3 linked regions of the Neodiprion lecontei genome follow. The protein of the gene in region 1 interacts with the protein of each later gene in a pairwise test. Links are inferred from orthologs where the notes say so. Each region holds a gene or a part of one and is shown in the gene's direction. Other genes may lie near its edges.

What was found.
Region 2: the proteins of WASH complex subunit 3 (region 1) and WASH complex subunit 1 interact in binary tests that used the Caenorhabditis elegans proteins (3 or more experiments, as listed by UniProt). The link is inferred for Neodiprion lecontei from reciprocal best matches to the Caenorhabditis elegans genes ddl-1 and ddl-2.
Region 3: the proteins of WASH complex subunit 3 (region 1) and wiskott-Aldrich syndrome protein family member 3 interact in a two-hybrid assay, tested with the Caenorhabditis elegans proteins (2 studies listed by BioGRID). The link is inferred for Neodiprion lecontei from reciprocal best matches to the Caenorhabditis elegans genes ddl-1 and wve-1.

What each region holds. Positions count from the first base shown.
Region 1 is NC_060262.1:41,780,525-41,788,289, reverse strand, and holds the start of WASH complex subunit 3, read left to right. Parts: upstream 1-3,331; 5' UTR 3,332-3,487; coding exon 3,488-3,538; intron 3,539-4,018; coding exon 4,019-4,183; intron 4,184-4,335; coding exon 4,336-4,616; intron 4,617-4,696; coding exon of another isoform or gene 4,697-4,715; exon of another isoform or gene 4,716-4,783; intron 4,784-5,035; coding exon 5,036-5,108; 3' UTR 5,109-5,356; coding exon of another isoform or gene 5,357-5,377; 3' UTR 5,378-5,694; coding exon of another isoform or gene 5,695-5,811; 3' UTR 5,812-6,091; coding exon of another isoform or gene 6,092-6,265; 3' UTR 6,266-6,659; coding exon of another isoform or gene 6,660-6,662; 3' UTR 6,663-7,193; intron 7,194-7,261; 3' UTR 7,262-7,665; intron 7,666-7,765. Other genes in the region: 60S ribosomal protein L44, read right to left, coding at 5,357-5,377, 5,695-5,811, 6,092-6,265, 6,660-6,662. UniProt on the Caenorhabditis elegans protein: Acts as a component of the WASH core complex that functions as a nucleation-promoting factor (NPF) at the surface of endosomes, where it recruits and activates the Arp2/3 complex to induce actin polymerization, playing a key role in the fission of tubules that serve as transport intermediates during endosome sorting.
Region 2 is NC_060264.1:30,291,705-30,299,479, reverse strand, and holds WASH complex subunit 1, read left to right. Parts: upstream 1-2,875; 5' UTR 2,876-2,944; coding exon 2,945-2,990; intron 2,991-3,082; exon of another isoform or gene 3,083-3,324; coding exon of another isoform or gene 3,325-3,346; intron 3,347-3,645; coding exon 3,646-3,775; intron 3,776-3,963; coding exon 3,964-4,519; intron 4,520-4,982; coding exon 4,983-5,795; 3' UTR 5,796-6,077; downstream 6,078-7,775. Other genes in the region: dynamin-1-like protein, read right to left, coding at 1-197, 286-533, 773-1,337, 2,318-2,419; carboxypeptidase N subunit 2-like, read left to right, coding at 7,687-7,728; congested-like trachea protein, read right to left, coding at 6,842-7,029, 7,161-7,334. UniProt on the Caenorhabditis elegans protein: Acts as a component of the WASH core complex that functions as a nucleation-promoting factor (NPF) at the surface of endosomes, where it recruits and activates the Arp2/3 complex to induce actin polymerization, playing a key role in the fission of tubules that serve as transport intermediates during endosome sorting.
Region 3 is NC_060260.1:25,385,122-25,392,132, forward strand, and holds the start of wiskott-Aldrich syndrome protein family member 3, read left to right. Parts: upstream 1-2,574; 5' UTR 2,575-2,735; intron 2,736-7,011. Other genes in the region: U6 snRNA-associated Sm-like protein LSm3, read right to left, coding at 1,012-1,194, 1,647-1,754, 1,833-1,853.

The sequences.
Region 1 (7,765 bases):
TGGTATTTCGTACCCCGTCACTTTATTTAATTATCGCATTCCTCTAGGTACAAATATCGCTAAAAATAACGAAAGCACGTCTGAGGCCAATACTCCAAAAATGAACGACTAATTATCTTTAAGTTGATTTCCCTTTACTAAGCTAATTGTATGCTATTTTCTAATTCTGTAATGCTCTTCGAGAACCATCCGCGAGACCTTCACGTCAAGGTACCAGTACACTTCCTGACAGGGGTCAAGTACCAGCTCAACATCAACACCACCGACTACAGACGAACGAATACCGCTGAAACCACTCCCGATGGATGCCTATCTAGTTGTCGAAAAGGGTCGTGCGTGATGCACAACAGCACCTCCAACTATTTGAGACTTATCGGCCAGGAGCCGAACCACGAACGAATGTTTCTACCGCTCGGATGCATCGTCAGGCGGCGTACAGGGCTGTGCGTCAAAAACACAATGAAGCCTCCCGTCGACGATACTTATCAGCCTGGAGCTGAACCGACCCTAATATCTACTAAGTCGTTGACTATACAATAGAAGACGGTTTTCTCTTAACGAACCGTCTTATCGAAGGACTGCGGCGTGGAATAGGCTAATGATATGCTGACCACGTGGATCTGGTGGATCTAGTGTGGGGATCCGGGTTGAGGGCCATCACCACCAGATCGTTCCGGCATGAGGGCTTCCATGAGCGAGGGCCGGGATGCAGCGCCGACGAAATAGCTACAACGGGGAGTACCAGTAAAACAAGGAGTGAGTTACAGTCTGTCGCAAGTCCAGGAGACCGGTGACGTAACATTGCCGCACACATCAATATCGCAATACCTGAGCAGTACGACCCCACCCCCTTCTCACCAACGATACCGCATAGCTGCAGGAAAACATCTCTAACCACCTTCCGACGTCCTGATACCTCGATACCCGTCGTCGAGGGAAAAGAACATCAAACGGCGAGGGATTATCGCCGCCTATCCGTGGACCAGGCCACGGGACCAGCTGGTCCAATTAAGATACCGCAAATTTTGGGAAGAATCACGTGACACCAGCTCGATGAAAATCAGGATCATCGCTCATCTCATTACTCTACGTTCAGTTGTCAATTAAGAAAGACGTGTTCTCGATATCTGTAATAGAGTTTTTTTTTTGGCTATCATTGTATTAAGTTTATCGCTAGTGTACCGCATCCTGTAGTATCTACTATATCTTCTTTTACGTAAGTGAGGTTCCTTTGCTATTTTGTGAAGCCACGAGATTACTTGCAATATATCGTACCTTTACCTTTATCTCTTTCTCTCTTTACCTTGCAGTTGGTCTGCTTGAGCCAATTGGGCTCGTATCTTTTCTCTTTACCTTGCAGTTGGTCTGCTTGAGCCACCTGGGCTCGTACCTTATTATCTCTTATCTTGTCCCTTTCTCTGTCTTATTGCAAGTAACTTCGCGACTGGTTGATTATTACTTACGCATTGTAGTGACTATCGCTTTATCTTATTATCTTTCTCTTTTAGAATATTTGAATGTCTAATATCGCTGTCTAGCAGCGCGTTCCGTTAAAGGATCAATTTTTATCTTAGCTACTGAGCATTACTATTTTGTTATATTTTCTCTGATTAGTTTCTATCTGTCTCTTTATCTATTATCGTTGATTATCGCATCTTAGTGAGAGTACCGCGGGAGCGATCTTATATCGCTGCGCGGTCCCGTTCGTCGTTCATTTGACATTGGAGTATTGTGCCATATCGCATAACATCTTTTTCACTATTTTCTTCGCTTATATCGCTGATCGTAGTTGTCCGTAGTCTATTGGGTTTGCCGTACGTGGCATATTAATTACCTTGAATATTGTTTGCCTTATCTTGAATTACCTTTTATCGTACCGATTATTATCTTTCTTTCTCTCGCACTTACCGCAAACCAGAGACTACGTATTATCTTTTATTCTCTATATTTTATAATAATTTTCTATTTGACCTATCGCTTGAATTTACCTTGTAATTCATAATTCCCTGTCTGCCTATTTCTGATCATTCTGGTAATGTGATAACTATTTCAATTGTTGTATTTCGCATGAGTTATAATCGCTTCTCACATTTTATGATTTATTTGCTTACCGCTTAATTTAAGTACAGTGTATCTCTTCTGTTCTGCCTACCTGTCATAGAACCGTGTTAATCATTACCTTTAATATCGCGAGCTTGCTCATATTTCCCGCTTATTCGGAAAACGTTCCGTTAATTGTTAACTCTCTCGCTTAACCTTTCTCTGGCTGTAACTATTGTTAATTATCGCATATATCGTATTTGTATCGCAAACTCTTCCGCTACTTGCTTGTCAGTAAACTTATCGCTTCTTGTTTAATATATTTGATATTATTCCTGCTTCACCTGTTTCTTATTTTATCTATTGGATTCGACTCCGCCCCTCTACCATTATCTTGTCTCTCTGAGCGAACTGTGCAAAACCGTCGTAGAACCTGACCTTACCTTTATCTATTACCTTTATCTTTATCGTTGTCTTTTTCTCTAATTATCTATTTTTGACGCATGTGCGTCTGGCGCCCAACAATTGTATCTTTCTCCCTTAGTATCTCTCTCTATCTAATTATTTAGGTTAGCGACTGCGCCGTAGGGTAACCAATTATCGTTATATTGTTTATACCCTCAAATATAAAAATATCCGGTTACAGTGTATATTATTTGACAAGCACAATTAAATCCGGTTAGAAGAGCATCAAAGAACACTGCACATGTATCATAATATGTCTGTGATATTTCAAGCATGCAAATTTAGTTTATGCGGAAGTTTATAGGGATTAAGAACAATCTATTGTAGTTTTATAAGTTATACACACAACTATATTATACGTATAATGCATTAATATCGACGATAATTGTCAATTAGATTTTGTGGTACAGAAGCGTTTTTAACAATAAAGGTACAATGAGTCGAGCCGATTGAAGAGAAAAGTTGAACTGCACTTTCTGCACCTTCAAACACTATAACTTTGTCATAGTCAATTAGGAAATGTGCAAAAATAGTCGTACGTAGATATGTTGATGTATTTGGGTATTTGTTTTGTGCGGTGGGAAATGTGCGGTGTATTCTTTCGACTAACACCGCGGAGGTGGTTATGATAACAAAATCCGCCGTTTCGAATTCCATTCATTGTGTGTTAAAAACGAATTCAATGTGTTGGTTGATGTATTACGTTGACTGAAGAATATTCTTCAGGCAACGTGCATTATTAGGGTTAGCGCGCAAAGAGTGAATCTTGGTTATGTACTCTACTCAAATTCAGCGCGTAAATTTGTCATCAAGCGTGGGTGACTCTGTCAGTGTCTGCTAGAGGGTCCCTCGGAACGAAACGTCAAATCGTACGTCAAATGGAGAAATGTCAGAAATCAGTTGACCATCAGAAGTCGTCACTTTAGGAGACTCTAGGTTACATTGTACAATATTTCACTCTCTTCTTAGCAAACTGTGCAACATGAACGATTATGGGATTCCGATGATCGAACCTACCGTTGACTTTACTAAGGTTAGTTAATTTTATCCTAATTAGTCCTTCGTACAAGGTACAACACGATATCGTTCGTCCCCCGGTTCCCATGTCACCAATTTTCGTATCTACAGTTCAAATTTTTATTAGTTTACATATCAATCGTAAAATCATCTACGATAATCGCGTTTCTGATTCTATACCTACCAACAATTTCTATGCTCGTCCGACTTCTATTAATTACTCGGCAGCCAATTAGAATTAGTTTTCTATGTGTAGTCATGAGCGCAACGAAACTAAATTTTGGGTCTGCCAGTTACTTGGATCTGGACTGATCTGGGTACACATGGTGTAAATATCAGAAACAAAGTTCATATGACCTGTAAGGTCTAAAAGTTTTAGCTGACGTAAATAGATTATTAACATTTAATGCGTCCATCCTGTACAGATTAACAGAAATCGAAAATTTGTGTAGTTGGATTTTGAGTCTCTAACGTATAGAATAACATTTATTTTTAGGTCCCGCCGATTCATCAAAAAAGAACTATAACGTTCGTTAATCATTTTATTGTACATACAGTAACATTTTTGAACAAGTTCGCTCTATCCTGCGAGGAAAAACTGTTTGAGTTTGAAAATAAATTGCAAAAAGTTGAAGCGTCGCTAGGAATCCTTGAATCTAGGGTAAGCAAAACTACTAATTATCTTAACATGTTTATTCAGCATCACACATTACAGCAGAGGGACTATTCGCAAGTGTTAAGTCGACTTTGCACTTTTTCTTCATTTAATATGTATGTGAATAATTAAAATGAGACGCTGTGCTTTTTTATCAGCTCGCGTCGATACCAGAGATTGACTTTCCAACAAAGACAGAGTCTTCACCAATCACTGAATCAAGTGATCAAGAACAGAAAACGGTGGAACAAGACCAGACAAATGAGATTGAAGCGGTGAAAGCTGAGTTGATTGATGAAAAAAGTGAAATTAGTAACACGCAACCCATCAGTAAAGATCCACGATATGCAAAATTCTTTAAAATGCTTCAGTTTGGCGTACCTGCGCAGGCTGTCAAATTGAAAATGAAACAAGAGGGTCTAGATCCACTTTTGCTAGAGTGAGTATTTCCAGAAAATAACTCTTCTAACATTTAATATTTAGACTATTTATACATGAATTTGTTTTAAAATTTGAAAGGGGCTATGTACTGGGATAGGCTGAAATGCTGTTACAAAAATGTCAAACAATCTTCATAGACCTGCTGTAGCCTTCTTTTCAGTTTGTGTCAGTATATAATATTTATTCAAGATCTTTCATGTAATCTCTTATGTTTCTTCAAGAATATAAATGCAGATATTTTGGAATCGGCATATTCGTTCCAAAATTACTTCAAATTACCTTTTTGAATAGTTTTATTAGGTATTACGGATGCGAATAGAATTTCGAAAATGTGTCTTGTTTCAAGATATACTGAATATAAGACTACATTCACAGAATATGTGACAAAGAATTTAACACACTTTGATGTTCAAACAGCAATCCTGATCAGTTGGTTCCAATAACGGAAATAGTTGAGACAAATACAACTACTGATGAGGATGATGCTTGATAATAAACTGAAGAGTAAAGGAAGTATGCATATGAAACAGTAAGGTACAAAGAGTATTCACAGCGCTCACGAAGTAAAATATTTGTCATGTTGGAAAAATTTTGACAGACCCAGTTGATAGAAAAGAAAAGAAAACGTAATATATGCATTGTTGTTTGATATAACCATTTAGTAAATAAACACATTTCAAATCTTGAACGATTTATTTTATTTTTTTGTTTGTATAGTTACAATCTTAAACGCAAGGTTTAGAACTGGATCATCTGGCCCTGTAAATAGAAAACAAAATATTCTGCAATTGGTTACTGGTTTAAATTAATTTTTATGCGTGTTACTTCCATTCGGTTTAGGTGCGTTAGTTGTGGGTAAAATTCCTAGGGACAAATATCTCAAACTCTCATCAGACTAATATCGATAAATGTTTCAATCGCTTTTGAAATATCACCATATGGAATTTCGAGACTTGTTTCAGATTATTTAAATGGCACAAAGACTTAAACAAGTTTGAACTGTTTGGAATCAATTTCCACACATCTCAGCACCGAATATAAAACGATCTAGATGCACTAGGTTTTGAAAAACCCACCTTCCTCTTCTTATCACCTCCCAGCTCGAAATGTTTGCAACGTTTAAGTGGGATTTGCTTTCTGTACTTGCACTCAGTGCATTCCATCCTTAGCACAATTTTCTTGGTTGTCTTAGCCTGCAAGGAAAATAACGTCAATCAATAAAATGCTCTCTGGGTTATGACATACTGATCAGTTAGTCCAGTTCTGTAGAAGCTTCAAGCATGACAACTCCAGAAATGAATGAAAAACCAATGTTCCCATCAGTTAAAAAAAAAATTACTCACTTTTTTTATTAGAATTTTTTAGGAAAGTTTTAGAATTTTTAAGCTACCTTAAATTTGAAAAAAAAAAACTGTGGTAAAATATCAAATGAGCAATTAAAGTTAGCGAGTAATATGGAATAAGAATACGTACCTTCTTTCTGAAAATGGGCTTCGTTTGACCTCCGAAACCTTGTTGCTTACGATCATAACGTCTTCGGCCCTGAGACGCATGCCTTTCCTTGCTTTTCTTATATTGGGTGACTTTGTGCGGCTTGTGGACCTTGCACTTCTTGCAGAACGTGCGCCTCTGTTTGGGTACGTTCACCTGTAACGAAAGTTGTTAAGCTCAGGATGCAGGTATCTGTGTGAAATGCAGGCAGAAGAGCCCCATGAGATGTTCACGTGCAGTAAAAACCTCGCGCAATACATGAAATTTTTGGAATTGTCCGTCTTATCTAGTCCCCACGTCGGTAACTGATTTTTTAACAACGTATTAAGATTTATTAGTATCAGTAGGGGATTTCGAGGTTATGTTGACCGTCTGTCATGTCGTCCCTTCGAACGAGATCGCGAACTGGCGATTGAAGAGAAATATCAATTGAAATATAGTGCTCGGGTGGTTTGATCATGATATGATTCCATTAAGAAAATCAATCTATTCGTTTTGCAAGTCGATGCTGATGGATGAAACTCCACAAAATAAAACACAATTCACCTACCATCTTGGTTGTTTAGAAGAAAAAGGAAGCGGAGGCAGGCCGGAAATGCCTGTTAGCTGCGCGGTACGCTTGCGTAGACTTGTCCGCATGAGTTTAATACCAATATATTCCACCGTTTTCTGATCTCTTCAACCTCCGATACTTCTTTCGATCAATATCTCGAGCAAGGAACCGATGACGAATAAAATAGGAATCTTTTTCTCTACGTTATTCACTGTCGAGTAAGAGTATCACGTGCCGCTGCGATACCCACGTATATTTGGTAGGTAAGCCGGCTTTTTCTCGTCAGGAAGTTTAACAGGATTGAATTATTTCCGCTTAGTTATTTTACGAAATAGAATTTTAGATACCGTTAAAAAACTTTTTTGGACGTAATTTGAGTAACAATTTGATCGACGAATTGCAGCGCTAAAGCCAGTTTGAATCAAGCGACAAAGCCTCGAACCAGGGCTCCGAAGTACGCTTCGTACTCTCAAACCCCTCGTCCGCGGAAGTGAATAATTTTATTTATTCAATATAGATATTGATTGCAAGGTATAAAGGTTGAATAATTACTCATGAAATGTTAAAATTTATTCACTTTATTAATCGGTGCATTTCAGGTGCGGCGAGGCCTGAAGAGAGATCGACCAATCAGGGATTTATCGAGCTTCAAACCCGCGCCATCTTCATTTTTGAACAAAGCCAGGTTGGACGGTACGCCGAGTGAGTGAAGTAGTCCGCTTCAGTCCGCTCCGAGGTCCGCTAGTCCTCCGCTTTCGTAAGCGTTTCGTGCACTCGCCGGAAACCGACGCCGCCGTCGTTGTGTCGTGTCCCACGCCGAAATCGAGGCATCGAAGACACACAAGTTTCTTACGTTTTAACAATTACCAAATTAGAAAAAAAAACCACCGTCGTCATGAGTACCAAGGAGAATAACGACGTTGCCGTCGAGAAGGCGATTGATAACGAAAAAACCTCAGATGACGCGAAATGCGAAATCAAGGGAACGAAAAGGCCGGCCGAGGTAAGTTGTGTGCTACCCCTCTGTTTGTGTATTAAACGTATAAGTATGTAGATGTATGTATGTACGTGAGCTAGTACGGTGGATCGGCGAAGCTTCGAAA
Region 2 (7,775 bases), on another chromosome or scaffold:
TGAAATATGTAGCAGATACGAGCACCTCCACAGAGCTCGGTAGTCTCTATATTTCTTGCTGTTCCCTCAATCGTCGAACAGTAACTGCTCGCAAACTTGGTTATTATCTGAAGCAGTGTCTGGCTCTTGTCTCCCACATCCTCTCCGTATGAGTTTAAAAGTGTTTGGAATTGGGAGACCATCACATTCACGCGTGTCTGTTGTTTGAATAAATAATTGTTACATGGCCGAAGGAAGGGACCAGATTTACATGCTCTCCTGACTAACAATTTAGCAAAGGCTTACCTTTAAATCGGGAAGGCAATCGCGAATATGATGCATTAAAAGTCTGTTGAGGGTTTTTGCTAAGTAAGGAGTGCCGTTTCTGTTTGCCAAAGTAGGATATTTTCGTTGCAGGAAGGCAGCTTCGTCCTTAAGAGCTTCCTGGATAGACTTGTTATTCATTATGTCTTGCTGTGAACGATTTACAACTCCTATGATCCCCAGCTTCACAGGAATCACCCGTCCGCACAGGATATCAATCGCATCCGTTCCTCAAACCCAAAATAACAAGCGACTCTCAAGCAGGGTTGTATAAATGAATGATAAAATAATTCCAAGAAAAATATAATTCTTCGGGACAAATTTTCAGATCAAGATTAGCTAATCAAATCAATTCTTAAACTTAACTCCAGTTTAAGAGAGAAAAAAGAAGGATAGAAAGAAATACGTCGCCACAAAATTCAATACATCAGATATCAGTTCAAAGTTACTATTTAGTTGGTCAAATTACCAGCGTCCATTAGATCCAGTTTAGTAACAACTGCGAGGGTTCTCCTTCCATCGGGATCAACGTCTTTGCTGAGTTTGAGGCTCTCGCTGGTCGCCATGTCCGTGTTTGCGGTTACAACGGCCAATATTATGGAATTTGGATTGCAAATGTGTTTCAGAACCAAGTTTCTGATTTGCGCTTCAATATCCTCGGGCTGATCGCCAACGGGGACCTTGGTGATCCCTGGCAAGTCGACGAGTGTCAGATTTACAACCGAGGTTGAATAAACCTTCAGATTAATCGGTTCAGGACAAATTCCCTTGTTGGATCCAGCCATCCGATTCGTTTCAGCCTCAATTTCCAATCTGATATCATCGAAGTTTGTAAATATTTTATTTTTAGTGTGCAAAAATACACCCCACTCGTCAAGGGTCAGCGTCCCATCTTCGGCTGTTCTGTGCTCCCTGTCATCTTTCGGCGCATAAACGAGCTGAAGAATCAACGGCCTACGAGTCACTATACCAGTCCCTCTGGGCAGAAACGAGCGGCCTACCAAACTCTCTATGACGGACGATTTCCCGGAGCTCTGCATACAATGGAAAACATATATTCTCATTTCATTTGTCGGATATTCTTTTCATTCTCAAATGGGATAATGTATGGATAACACAAGGGAATTGGAAGAGGTAATTCATCATAGAAATAAACATTTTCCCAAACTATTTGTGACTGCACAGTTTTCTGGAGTTCTAATTCATAGTAGAAAATTATTCCTGGAATTAGATTCATTTCAATTTATCAACAATTCTGATAACTCTCAACCTCAAGAATAAGTGTTTTCATAGTTTAGCACAGGGATTAAAATTTTTATCTTTGAAAATCATTAGCAATCACTAAATAACTAATACCGGAAGTGGTAATGAAAGAAAAGTAATTTTGGAATGGGATAACGTTTTTTTAAAGTTTCACTTGTATGTTCATTTTAATGATTGTTGAATTGGAAAAATAGTTTTTGCTGGATCCTGTTAAGAAAATTCATATTTGTTGTCATTCACAGATCATGCAATGTAACCTAACAATGAGAATCTAAAAATTGGAGAAATGTTTTATGAAAGTAGGCGTTAAGGTGGACGAATAATTTAGGAGTAAAAATGAAACCAAAGATGGATATAAAATTAAAAAATAGTGTTTTCAAAGAATTGATTTGCAAGATTCCATTAGGAAAAGAAAAAAAATATGTTTTCTTTCATCACTGGTCTCATCAGCAAAAAATAAATTCAACTGTAAGAAAATGCTAAAACTAGTAAAAATCATCGATAAAAATAGAAACTTTTAAACGATAGTAATTTTAATGAGTGAAGTAAAATAATTTTAGTATAATATTCTTCGAATTTGAAATACAATACCTGAAAAAGTCATATCGACGACAAGTAGGATCACAAAGATAAAGGATCAAGGATCCGAGGGCAAGATCGGGCTTTTAAGGAAGAAACGCGAGACTGTCTAAATCAATGGTTTGAAACGTACCGACACATTGTCAATAGTATAGGTGAAATTATAATTAACCTGTGTTCCGAGAACGACGATTTGAGGCAATTGTATGGCGTCAGCACCAACGGTGTTGAATACATCTTGGAGTTTATTTATCACTGGAATGAGGGCCTCCATGATCGACGACGACGAGGTTAAGAGTAGTCGAGGAATACCACGATTTCTGTACAGATTAACGGAGCCTGAAATTCTAGCCACCCGACGAAAATTACAAGCTGAAGAACAATCGGAAGATCGAGGATACTGCGATTCCAACAGTTACGAGCATCTACACCACCTTCAACAAATCCAGCTCGAGCGTATGCAGAGATCGATGGATTATCGTTTTATTTTACAGAAACTAAAACCTAGGCGGTTTCTGCATCGATCGTCGACGAAATCGAAACCTCTCATTAACCCAGCGATACCCTTTTTAACTCACTACTCCCGTTTAATCCACCGGCTGAATTCACTCGGCCAGGAATCGTCAAGCCGCCATCTTTACTCTCCTTAAGGCGGTCGATTGCGAATTGGATCGCGAATGGGTTTTAAGTGCGGCCGTTATTTGAAATTTGAATTTATTACAGACTGCACGAAGCCGCGATTATAATCACGGAAATCAATCTGCGTTCGTATTTTCTTTTCTCATCCTCTTTGCTACGCATGCGATCTTCAGCCGCCTCGCGCTTTGGATTCGATTCGAAACTGGGTAAAGAATTGCAATCTTTGGCCAGTTTTTGACGGACGGAACGGAACCTAACATAACCTAACCTGATAAAGAATTAATGGGCGTAAAGTGGCAGAACTAAGAATGGCAGTCGTTCGCCTATGCAGACGATATGCAGTAGCACTTGTTTTGAGTAGTTTAAACCAGATTTAAATACAACTCGAATGATATGAGAGAGTTTATGGCGATGAGTTAATGGTTCGCGATTGTTGTTAAGTGTCAATACATTTTTCGGGGGAAGGAGCCGGCGTCGGATTGATATTTGAATCAATCGTCGTTTGTTTGTATAAAAATTGACCTTATCGAATCAGGAGAAATGCAGGGGCACATAGAAATTGGTAATAATGATACATTCGGCGTAATTTTTATACATTTCGTGTTATAAATACTCAAACATCAGTCATTCGCATTGTTTTTAATTGATTCGAGAGATAGATGAGATTTCTAAACAAATTCATTCGAACGCAGACCACAGTGTTATGCAAAATAATCTATGATCTTTGGATAGATAACGTTATGAAATCGTATGATTTTTAATCTTTAAATATCAGATGACAATAACAGTCACAATAATATTTATTTAAACAAATAATTATTCTCTCTTCGGCAAGTTTTAATTTTCAGCATCGTGTTTCAGGTGTGATTCCGCATGATTTGCGACAGGAGGAAACCATAGTCCAGATTGCAGAAGCATTAGATTCGCTCAACTCTGCTGTAGCAAGCATATTTAGCTGTATCGACGAGCGGTTATCGGAAAATACAAAAAGGTATTCAAGACAAAGTTGTTTGTGTTCTTTCGTTATGAAATGTAGTTGTGTAGCGCAAATCTGGTCTTCACTCTCAGAGATTGAAGAAAGAATAACTAATTAGCGTTTTCATTTTTCACAAGGTAGAAGAAAAGAACTAATGGTTGGAAAATATACTAAAAAATCTCATCTTTGATACGTTGTTACAGATTAGCCGGTATAAAAGGTCGCGCTGTGAAACTTCAGGGCAGATTAGACCACCTGCAAAATAACCTAAGCTTGAAGGCGGTGAAGCTATACTCTGCAGCAAAATACCCCTCGAATCATGTCTACAGAGAGTATCCGCTGGCTCTAAAACTGCCAATTAAAAAGGAGGATAAACCGCCGAGCGTCTATAAGAGCCCAGTTCCCATAGCGCAGGAGTTGAACTCGCAAAATATCGTCACCGAAAAGTCAAAGGACGGGCGGTGGAACGTTGACATCAACATACAAGACAAGCTGCAATTTTATCACGTCAAAAGTAAAACAAATAAAGGCAAGGGCTCTGGACATTCTAGAGCTATTCCAGTTAGACCAACCTCTGTCAGTTCGCTACTGCTACACGACGCCAAAGACAACCAGTATGGTAAACTTCCCGCAAAAAGCCTGGCATCGGCTAATGACAAGAGGGAAATCGAAGATGCTCCTACTTCGATATTGCAGTCATGGCACACCAATGATCTAGAATCTCCATCAAATTACTTCTATGCTCCAACGTTAGGCGAAGTACGTTTTTTAAGATTTATACCAACAAGGGCTTTTAGTTTGAAAGATATAAAATTTCTTGAATATTTTCTCTATTTTTTTAACTGATCGAGGTTTGAAATTTGAAAGAAATTCGTAACTGTTCTAGAACATGCTACTACTTTCAATACAAGGGTACCGACTATCAAATCTTATGAAACTGCATTTTTTCAGTGGATATTACAAACATACTGTAAACTCATCACTTCGGTACTTTAGATTTGAAAAGAAAAAATTATGAGTACAAAGAAGTTGAATGCTCAGATCAAACAGATTTACTTTTCACTTTCACACTTCACTAACAACTTAAATTTGGTATGAGAACTAGATCTAGTTTGTATTATTCAATTGATGATAGATACCACATGATCAATGTTTAAAACTTCAAAACTAGCACAGCGTTTATGAAGAATTGATTGTACGATTATACCATTTGTGTTTTCAGGTTCCACAGATAAACGTACCTCTCAGTCTCCCAGACCTGCCAGGAATAGTTGATGACGAACGTTTTGTGCTTGACCTACACAGTCAGAGTCCAATTGCTCCATCTTCGGTGGTAACAACACCGACTGTGAACCTGCCCTTACCAGCAGCTCCGTCTGATTCTGCCCCCGACGCAACTATGGAACCTCAAAACAGTAGAGAAAATGAACCTAGCCTTCCAAATTTGAGCCTACCAAGCATATCATCGGAGCAAAATCCTCCACCACCTCTACCTCCGGTTGAGATCGGTAACGTTTCTCATCCTGGGCCACCACCGCCTCCTCCTCCCAATCCCTCCACACTTTCAATCTCGACATCTCAACCACCACCTTCTGCTCCTGCTCCTCCTCCTCCTCCGCCTCCTCCTTCACTTGTCGAACCTCCAAAATTGTCATCATCGGTTACGAAAGACACTAAAACACAGTCTGTTAAATCTGTTCCAAATGTCGATCAGGTCGATAATCGGTCTAGCCTAATGGCAGCTATCCGCGACGCGGGCGGAGTTGGTAGAGCAAAATTAAGGAGTGCAGCACGTAAGGATGAAAATACAGATAAATGGTCTTCTGCTTTCGTTGGGGGCGATTTAATGGCAGATTTACACAACAAATTATCACTCAGACGTAGAGGTATTTCTGGAACAGCTACCGGCGCATTGGGCAGAATGTCCGCTATGATTCCTCCACCTCCGAAACCAAACGAGTCCGCTACTTCGGAGCGAAATTCTGCCGCAAGTGAACAAGACTCGCAACCTGATACCGATGATTGGGAGGAATGATAGACTAAGATTGCTACTTGAAACTTCCTTTTTCGCTGTATAAAAACATACACAGAGAGTGATAAAATATATATTCCAACAATAACGATAAAAAGAAAAAAGAAAATGTCTTCTTTGCTGTCGTGTACATAATTCAATCAGTTGTTATAGCCGTAATTTCTGAATTAATTTCACGCAATTTCAACTAAAAGCTGGTCAGTATTAACAATTACAGTACTTGATGTATTGGTAAATCGATACAAGAAAAGGTCAACAATAATAAAAATATTGGTACAAAATTCATCGCATATCTATAATAAGTTTCATATCCTATATCAAATGTACATTGTTATTCGTAAGATATGCAATGAAGTAAAACAACTTTGAATATTGATTAACCGTAAAGAATTGTAGATCTTTAATTTTGTGGGCAGGTTACGATATTGGTATCATGATATTCGTAGTATCTGTCAGCAATTAGATTAGATAAAACCAGCCATCTCTACTTTCACGCAATCTACTGGAGTCTATGATTGTAGAAAAATCTCTATTCTATGTCTTATTCAATGAAACAATAATGACAACTACGACAATGATCAATTAATAAGAATTCAGCACTGCTCAGCAATGCAATATTATAACTTTGAACGTTTTAAGTCATCATTTTGCTTATCTACTCAGCAACAGGACTTTTAGAAATTAAACAATTTGCAATGTGCTTGGCCACTTTTTACATCACTTACTTATTTTTTTTTTTTTTCCAAGAGTTAAATAAAAATGTTCAATCGCTAACAACATTCCACACTGAAGAATGTTTCGATTTTAAAAATGGGGGGTTGGGCCGACTTTATGGCGGTTATAAAATGCGTGTATAAAATTGTAAAATCATTTCGATTAATATCCGTAATACTTATCGATAGAGCAGTTCTTCACAATATTCATATACTTATTCTTAACTAATAATATATATAATATTATATACTGTATAAGATTCTTCAGTTAGTAAAGGCAGTTTTTCAAAAATTATAACACCGACGAGGGTGTGAAAATAGGTGATCCAGTAATCGTTATAAATTCGGAGCTGCCAAATTGAGGAAATTCATCGCCACTTCAAAGCCGGCAAAACAAGCTGCGTTTGCAGGGAATGCTCTGAGCATTACAGGAGCACATCCTTTGTAAAGTGCACGAGGTCCCTCTTCCTTCATCAGTTGAGTGAATACAGAACGAATTCCATTTTTGTATGTGCCTTCCGGTGCTTTAGAAAAATTAGAAACACACGTTAAAACCTTCACCCCCTAGTTGAACGATGAAGAAGAATAAACGATTGCTTGCGTATCACTGGACATGGCAGTAATTTAGTCATAATTCGTTGGCTCGTTCACCTACCAGTTTGCAGTCTACTTTTTAATACATCTGGGGGTATCGCTACGATCCAATTTGCAATTCCAGCCATACCACCGGCAAAAATAGTCGACACAACACCCAATTTTCCACCATCAGGTGTCAACCATCTCTGAAGCAATTCGTACATCATGAAATACACTCCACTGGCCGGTACGTCTGTAATGATAGAGGAATAAGACAAAGAGTCGAATAAATGCGTATGCCCGAAGTTTAGGGGTGGCGTATTGTTATTCGCGATGGGTGTGCTTGTTGTGTTTGCTATTATTAATATAACTTAGTAACTTTCAAATTGGAAATCACACCGTAATTAATAATATTGTAGAACGTGCGTGGGTCGATAGATAACTGACATCCTGCCCGGATATGGGACAAACAATCTGACAGATAAATACAAACGAAATTCAGTTTCTCTCCAGCTAGCTTCTCTTTCGGAAATCTAATTGTTCCTCCTTGTCGTCTGACCACGGTTACACGCCACATCTTTTGCTATTCTATACGTTTTACTATCATGAAGATCGTCACGCTGTTTTTATGGCCAGTTTTAATCCCGGTTCGTGATCATCGCTTTGTGCAATAATTTCTACTCTCAGAGTTTTT
Region 3 (7,011 bases), on another chromosome or scaffold:
TTAATACTTTTCACCCGTGCATCTGCGTAATCAAGATTTATACACTTGAGGTGACGTTTGTTCAAACTTTAAAAAAAATAGACAAACGATTTGGAGAAATATCTAATTTAACAATTTGTTATATAGAGACGGTGAGATCTTTGCTCAATCCAGATGAGATTGCGAACAGGACTGTTCCTCGTCAGGTTTTTACAAAACTGAAAACGGAGCTACAAGAGAAGAACGAAACGATACATAGTCTGAACCACAAAGTCTCGCATCTCGAAAGTTTGATGAAGCTAAAAGATCAGAGAATTTCCGATTTGACGGCGCAAATAATAAACCCACAGGAGTCATCGATCAGTAGTAAATCACATCTCTTAGGCTCTGGCTTACCAAAAAGTCGGAACAGCAAAGTGTAGGCTGATACCCTACAAGTTTGTATAGAGTCTGTTGAATCCGTGTCTACAAATCGCTGTAATATGATAATCTGCTTGTAGTTTGCGGGATTTCATTGAGAAATATACTATCGAACTTGCAAATTATGTCTTGCGGTATTAGAATCAAGTAACTGCACCAGGCAACAATGAATTCATTCAATCTGCATGTAACATTTCGAAACTAAAAGCATTTTGCCTCATGAATTATTTACTCCAATTGTGTGTAATGTGAGCTAATATATTTTGCGTTTTAAATAATCGTGAATAATTTGATGTTCGTATTGAATGAGGAGTCGACAAGTATCAAGTGAGTAATATTCCTAATTTTTTAAATCAATTTCATTGCTTCATAAAATTAGACTGAAGTAGATTGAATTTTGGCTGATAATCAGTTAAGCTTCAGCATAATACAAAAATTTTTTAATATCTATTTCGAAAGAAGGACAGCGTGCCTAAGTTTTTTTCCATTCTTCACGTTTTCATACACAAAGTTCATTTTATTTGCATCAATTATTGCCTGTAATAGTAGCATAAGCTTATCCAGTGATTATTTGTTTTTAAATTATTTTAGAGTTAATTACGTCAGTAGGGATTAGATTGGCGCCCTCATGCTTGGCGGAGATACCAGAATGACACCGTCGCCACGAACAAACAACATTGGAATATTTCTTTTAGTCGTTCTGTAAACTTCCTCGTAGGTTTCTTCGTCTATCTCAACGGTTGTTACAGTTTCCTCTGCCTCACCCAGAACCATATTTAAATGTTGATCATAGGCCTGAAATTAAAATGATTAACCACCATTTGTTCAATGAATCAATTCTCATTTAAATAGATCGTAGGTCAGGTAATTGTATCAAAATATGAGTTATTATTGTTTACTTAAAATTTCCAATATTGGGAGCAGTGCTGACATTCTATCTTATGTTGTGAAGAAATAGAATGTGGATCGCAAAATTTTATCACAATAATGCAACTTGTTTGATTTTTATTATTTGACGAGGACCGATGGTTCTTGAAAATAACGATTGTCACTAACTTTATGTTAGCAAATCGTTATAACTTAATAAGAATAATAATACTGCAAATAGCAACTATTATTCTGCTCGCCTAACTGAAGTGCCGCTGTTATCTATCAATCAGTGTTAGAGAATCGCACTCCTAATAAGCGCTTGGTATGCATCGACACAGTACTAATTTGACAAAATAAGATTCCTAAAACAGAATTACGTGTAGTCTTCCTCTGAGTTCCCTTTCGTTTCTCATTTTGACGTAAATTCGTTCGTCCAAGCTGAGTCTGATTAGATCTAACGGTTCCTTAACGTTGATGGCAGGAACCTGTATTGAAGACCGACAAAATTTTAGGTTAGTTGAGGTTAGGGATTGAATTATCTTAACAAAAATAAAATGCGTTACCTGCTCTGCATCATCGGCCATGACGTGTTGATAATCCCGTCACAAATTACAATGAAAATGTTGACTCGTCAATTATTTTCTGAAAACTAACAAACGTCACTTTACGACGCGACAGAAATTTAACCGACTTCGTTTCACTAACAATTGAATATCGATCTCGATCAAAACCTCGATTGTAGCCGACCTATGAATTCACTCGCGCTCAACACTCGAAGAACGGTAGTGTCGGTATTGACTTCACATACTTATCCAGCCCGGACATGAGGCGTTGATTTAAATCTGAATACTTTATTCTTTAACGTTGCCGCAAAGTTACAAAATAAGGCACCCAGATCTTTAGAATCCTTTTCCAAAACCATCGCATTATTTACAATTACATTGAAATGAAACAAATGCATTCTCGTCAATACTCCCAACTCAAAAATTATCAGCGTCCCCCTTTCGGCGACCTAACCTAATAGTGAAGTCATAAAAACTGCCAACGGTGCAACTTCTCTATAATTATACACACCGGACTAATTCCAAGGGCAATTTTTGCTTCCAATTGTGCGTACACCAATTGCCATCGAGTTTCTGCTGGAACGGACCAATCAGCTACTCGGTTAACCGAAACAGACGAACCTCGGAAATAAACTGCAGACGCGCATCTCCTCGATACGTAAGTACGTGTTCGAGTAGTAAGTAGTTCGCAATGTGACCACCCCTTCGAGGCGGCGAGCGGCGCTCGAGTAGCAGAATCGAGTCGGTCGTGTCACTGGCAAGTGAGTAACGCCATTTTCTGTGTTTGCGGATAGATATTACGGGCGATAAAGTGACACATTAGGTGTATCGGAGGTTAATTTGTCGGGTGTTTCGAGTGTCGGTGAAATGTTTGGATACCTGGAAAGACGCGGAGCAGATATGGTGAGTGATATAGACGTCAACCCGACAATAAATGCCTGACATCTTGCCACCGTCTGATGTTGGCCGCAGGTTCGAGCTGGGATGGGTCGTTCGGAGTATCGCACGGTATCATGTGATTGTTGTTTGACAGCACGCTCCAAGGGTCGCTCCTTGCCTTTCCGAACCTCCCATCAAAGTTACGCGCCGTTGTGATTAAACCGATCAATTTTACGCCCCGCCAATGGCCGTGGCGCTGAACCTTGTCACGGGAAAAGGTCGAGGGCGGCACATGGCAGTTGGGGCGCCGGCTATGCGGGGGGTGGTTTTCTTTTGTATCCAAAAACCGACTCCAACTCGGAACGGTGAGAATCCCGCCTCAATAAATTGCTCCCAGCAGAGTGTAGGAATGCAAACGGCGATGTATCAGGACTAATGTCCAAACGGCAATCGGCACATATTAACTGTTGGTATCTCAGTTTGTCAACCGGAACTAGCGTGAGATCTAACTTCGGATAGATAACTGAATACACGCTCGTCGAGCGTCTCTTGTTCGTTGCTGGAGAAGCGTAACTCAAAACGCTTGTGTAATCTTAATCTTCCTACTCGTTCGAATTCCTCATTAGATTCGTCGATTTTCATATGTCTTGAGGTCGGGAGAACATTCCTTCACAGAGTAGAATGCTAAGGTAAATAATGATCCGCCTTTCTTTTCCGGCTATAACTGCACCGGCATAACTCGTGACAAAACGTGTGTAACTTGTGTCGGGTGGACTCAGCTTGCGGCTCGACAAACATCAACTGCATTACATAATCCACTTTTACATCCGCGCTACGAAACGAACTTACAACCGCTGTTCTTGTTTGGCTTTGTACGATTCTCACGCCGCGTTACAAAAGCTCGGACAATCGATTCTCGGATTTCAGTTGCGCGTAACAATTAGTTTCCGAGTAAGCGATTCGAATTCCTGCATCAAGAATCTCGGAATTTACACCTGAATACACGCTACACACGTGCTGCGACAACTGGCGCAGGTATTTGATTATTCCGTATGATTATATACCGCATTCGCTTATTCACCACACGCACCGCTACTTACCTGCTATGCCTGAATGGTGAATAATAACGGAGGTGCGTAATACAGTCGGCAGAAAGCGCATCGTCACTTATCTCGGCTCGGTTCGTCAATAAAATATGCATGTGTGTACATACGGCGCGTAAAAGCGAGAACGAAACCCGAAGTATAAAGAGCGCCAACGGGACTGATAAGATAAGATACTTGCCCAGAGCGACGATGATATCTCGTATTTCACTCTGTCTCTCTTCGTTTAATTTAAATTCAGGGTTCGTACGCACAGAGAAAACTGGAAAAACTGGCAAAAGTCAGGGAATTCTGTAAATTTACAATCCTGGAATTTGTGTCTTTAAAAAATGTCCTTGGCACGTTTTTATAGGTTCGCGTAAATGGAGCTGTAAGTGTTACGTTAATTGAATAAAAAAAAGTATAATATTACTTGTTTGTAACAAATGCTTTCTTCTGATTTTCTTTTCTTTCATTCGTTTCTAAGAAAATTAGAGCCTGTAGTTAGGAAATAGATTTGAGTATAAAGTTGACAGTTTAACGATGTTAAAGGTAATGTTATTTATTGAAAAATTTGCCACTCTTAAGTGATTTATCAGTGAGAAAATCGTATTTATTTGGCTGGAATAGCTGGAAAAATTGGGACGAACCAAACCTGATATCATATTCATTCCGATGGTAAAATTTTATCCTGTATCCAGGTATCCGTTGTTGACCATTCGGCGCCTGCGCGTTCACCTTGAACGAACCGATTGCGAGGGAGTCGAAATTGACTCCCAGGTTCGTCACTGCCTGCTGGTTAATCCCGGATTATGTGTACCTCTCCAATTCCATCAGGCAAAATTCCCGGTCAGCTTGATTTTTGACGATTACAGATCGCCGGAGTAATCGTCGTCCGTCAAGTTGAAAACTATCGTTATAATTTAACAACCATAGAATTTTCCGAAATTCAATCAGCCCTGCTTATATTTTCCTTTCCTCCTTTTTTTTCCGTCGCAAAGTTAACTTCAGTTTATTTCAGAATCCGGAAATAGTGATTTTCTCCTGCACCGATTCGTTACATGTGTACATAATTAATTGTCAGCTAGGATGATAAGAGCTGATCTTTTGGCCATTGCGTAATTCTAATTCTTTTCTACGAAACGAACGATTTTTTTTACCACGACAAATTTGTCGAATATTCTCCAAATCAGGCTGCATGGTGTTAAATAATTGATGAAAAAACTTGTTTGGCCAATTCTTTACACACCAATTTGTCGCTTTCATACGTCACAGACACGCGCTTGTACGATTACAATTAACGACACACCGCGGAGATACAAAAACTTTTGACTCGTTAGACATACGTAAACAGGTAGCAGAGTTCTTGAACATGCATTTGAATAATTAAGCGATTAGTCTCGAGTGTTATTGACTCAAGATAGGCACTGCCGTCGTACCCACGTGTAGTCTACAAATTGTACACGTATTCATTAACGATAAGCTGTTCTATTTCTGTTAAAAAAATGCAGCTATGCTTCTCAGCTTCGAACTGAGATTGTTCGTTAATTTTCAGGACTTTATTATTACACTATGCGACAATGTTGTCGCTGATTTTTTTTTTTTTCTCAATTTTTCGCACGCGATCAGTTCTTCCAGATTTATAAATTTTCAAAATTCCGTGATTTTGAAACAAGGAAAAACTTTTGATCAATTTTTTTTGTCTCGGGAATAGATCTTTGTATCGATCGTTTTAGATCCAACTTCTTGAAGAATAAAGACTGTTCGTAATTTAGTTTCCTTTTACTACCGGCATATTGGGGTCAGCTGTATTATCTGCATGAATATTTTATGAACTGCATATAAAAAAATTTATTTATAGTAGCGGATGCCCGCGTGGTAAATATATTTTCATTTGATAAAACGATTCGTTATCTGCATTATATACTATATTATACTCCAGTCATACATTCACAGAGCGCTAAAACTTTTCCACCAGTATCGATTATAAAAACTTCACAAAAATTATCTGTAATCAGTATGTATTTTTTAAAAAAAAACCACCAACAACATTCATTTTTTGGACATCTAGTTGAAAATTTTACTAACAAATTACCTACGAGCAGTGCGCATTGACGTCACGACGCATCCGCATTGCGTTTAAGATACTTTAGTAGTGATACGAAGATGTTTAATAAACTCGAAGCGATTATCTTGACAAATTGAGAATGATTCTTTTTCTTTACTTTTTCTCGCAAGACGTTTAATTCTTTATCGCAAACTCTACGGCGCTACGAATAATTTATCGTTTACAAGGGGTTAGCGTGACAGCGTGTACATAATTCGCGACAACCCGGCCATGTCTTAATTGCTAATCAGCAACGAGGTGTGACACGAAAGCCTCGCGTGATGATTTAATTATCTTCTTCAAACACCGAGTCTTCGTTACTCGTGTAACCCGTGTGTTATTATTTTTCAGTTTACCAATTATTATCGAATAAACTTCAGCTTGAATTGCATAAATCTTACCCAACCAAATTAAAGAGTGATGTATATGCGTTGCATATAGGTATTCATTATATATACTCATGTCGCGTGTCTTAGGTAAATCTGGAACTTTTTTAACTGCCTCTTGTATCGTCTTTTTTTACGTGTCACTTGTACATCATCGTTCTCGTCAGCATTGATTCTTCATTGTACAACCTCCGGAAAGAAACTAGACCGTAATGTAATTTTTATATGATCTACTATTTTTCACTCTTCTTCGTTGTGGTAAGATTACTTTTCACAAGACGTTACGAAAATGCGTTTATTTACTTTTATAATATGAAATTTAACCCTTTGAGTCACACATTGTTGTGCTGAGTCGACTTTTGTAACACGACAGTATTCTACGATTTTTGGAGCTGCTGATTACGAACCTGAAATCAGATTTTGAAAATTCGAAAAAAGATAGTGGGTCCAATATGGCGGGCGAAAGATTCGAATTTGATCAAACTCGGTCAAAAAACTCTATGCTGGGGTTTTCGGGGTCGCTCATTGGATACGCCGTAATAAATTTTGAAAATCCGATTTCAGATTCGCAATCAGCGACCCCAAAAACTTATAATTTATGTAAAGCACGTATGTGTGTAGAGGGGTAACTTTCTAGGAAATGAATTATTCCTTCAATTTTCACGACTTTTTTCAATGTATTTGTTTGTAACAATAATAACTTATATTATATCGCGATAATTACT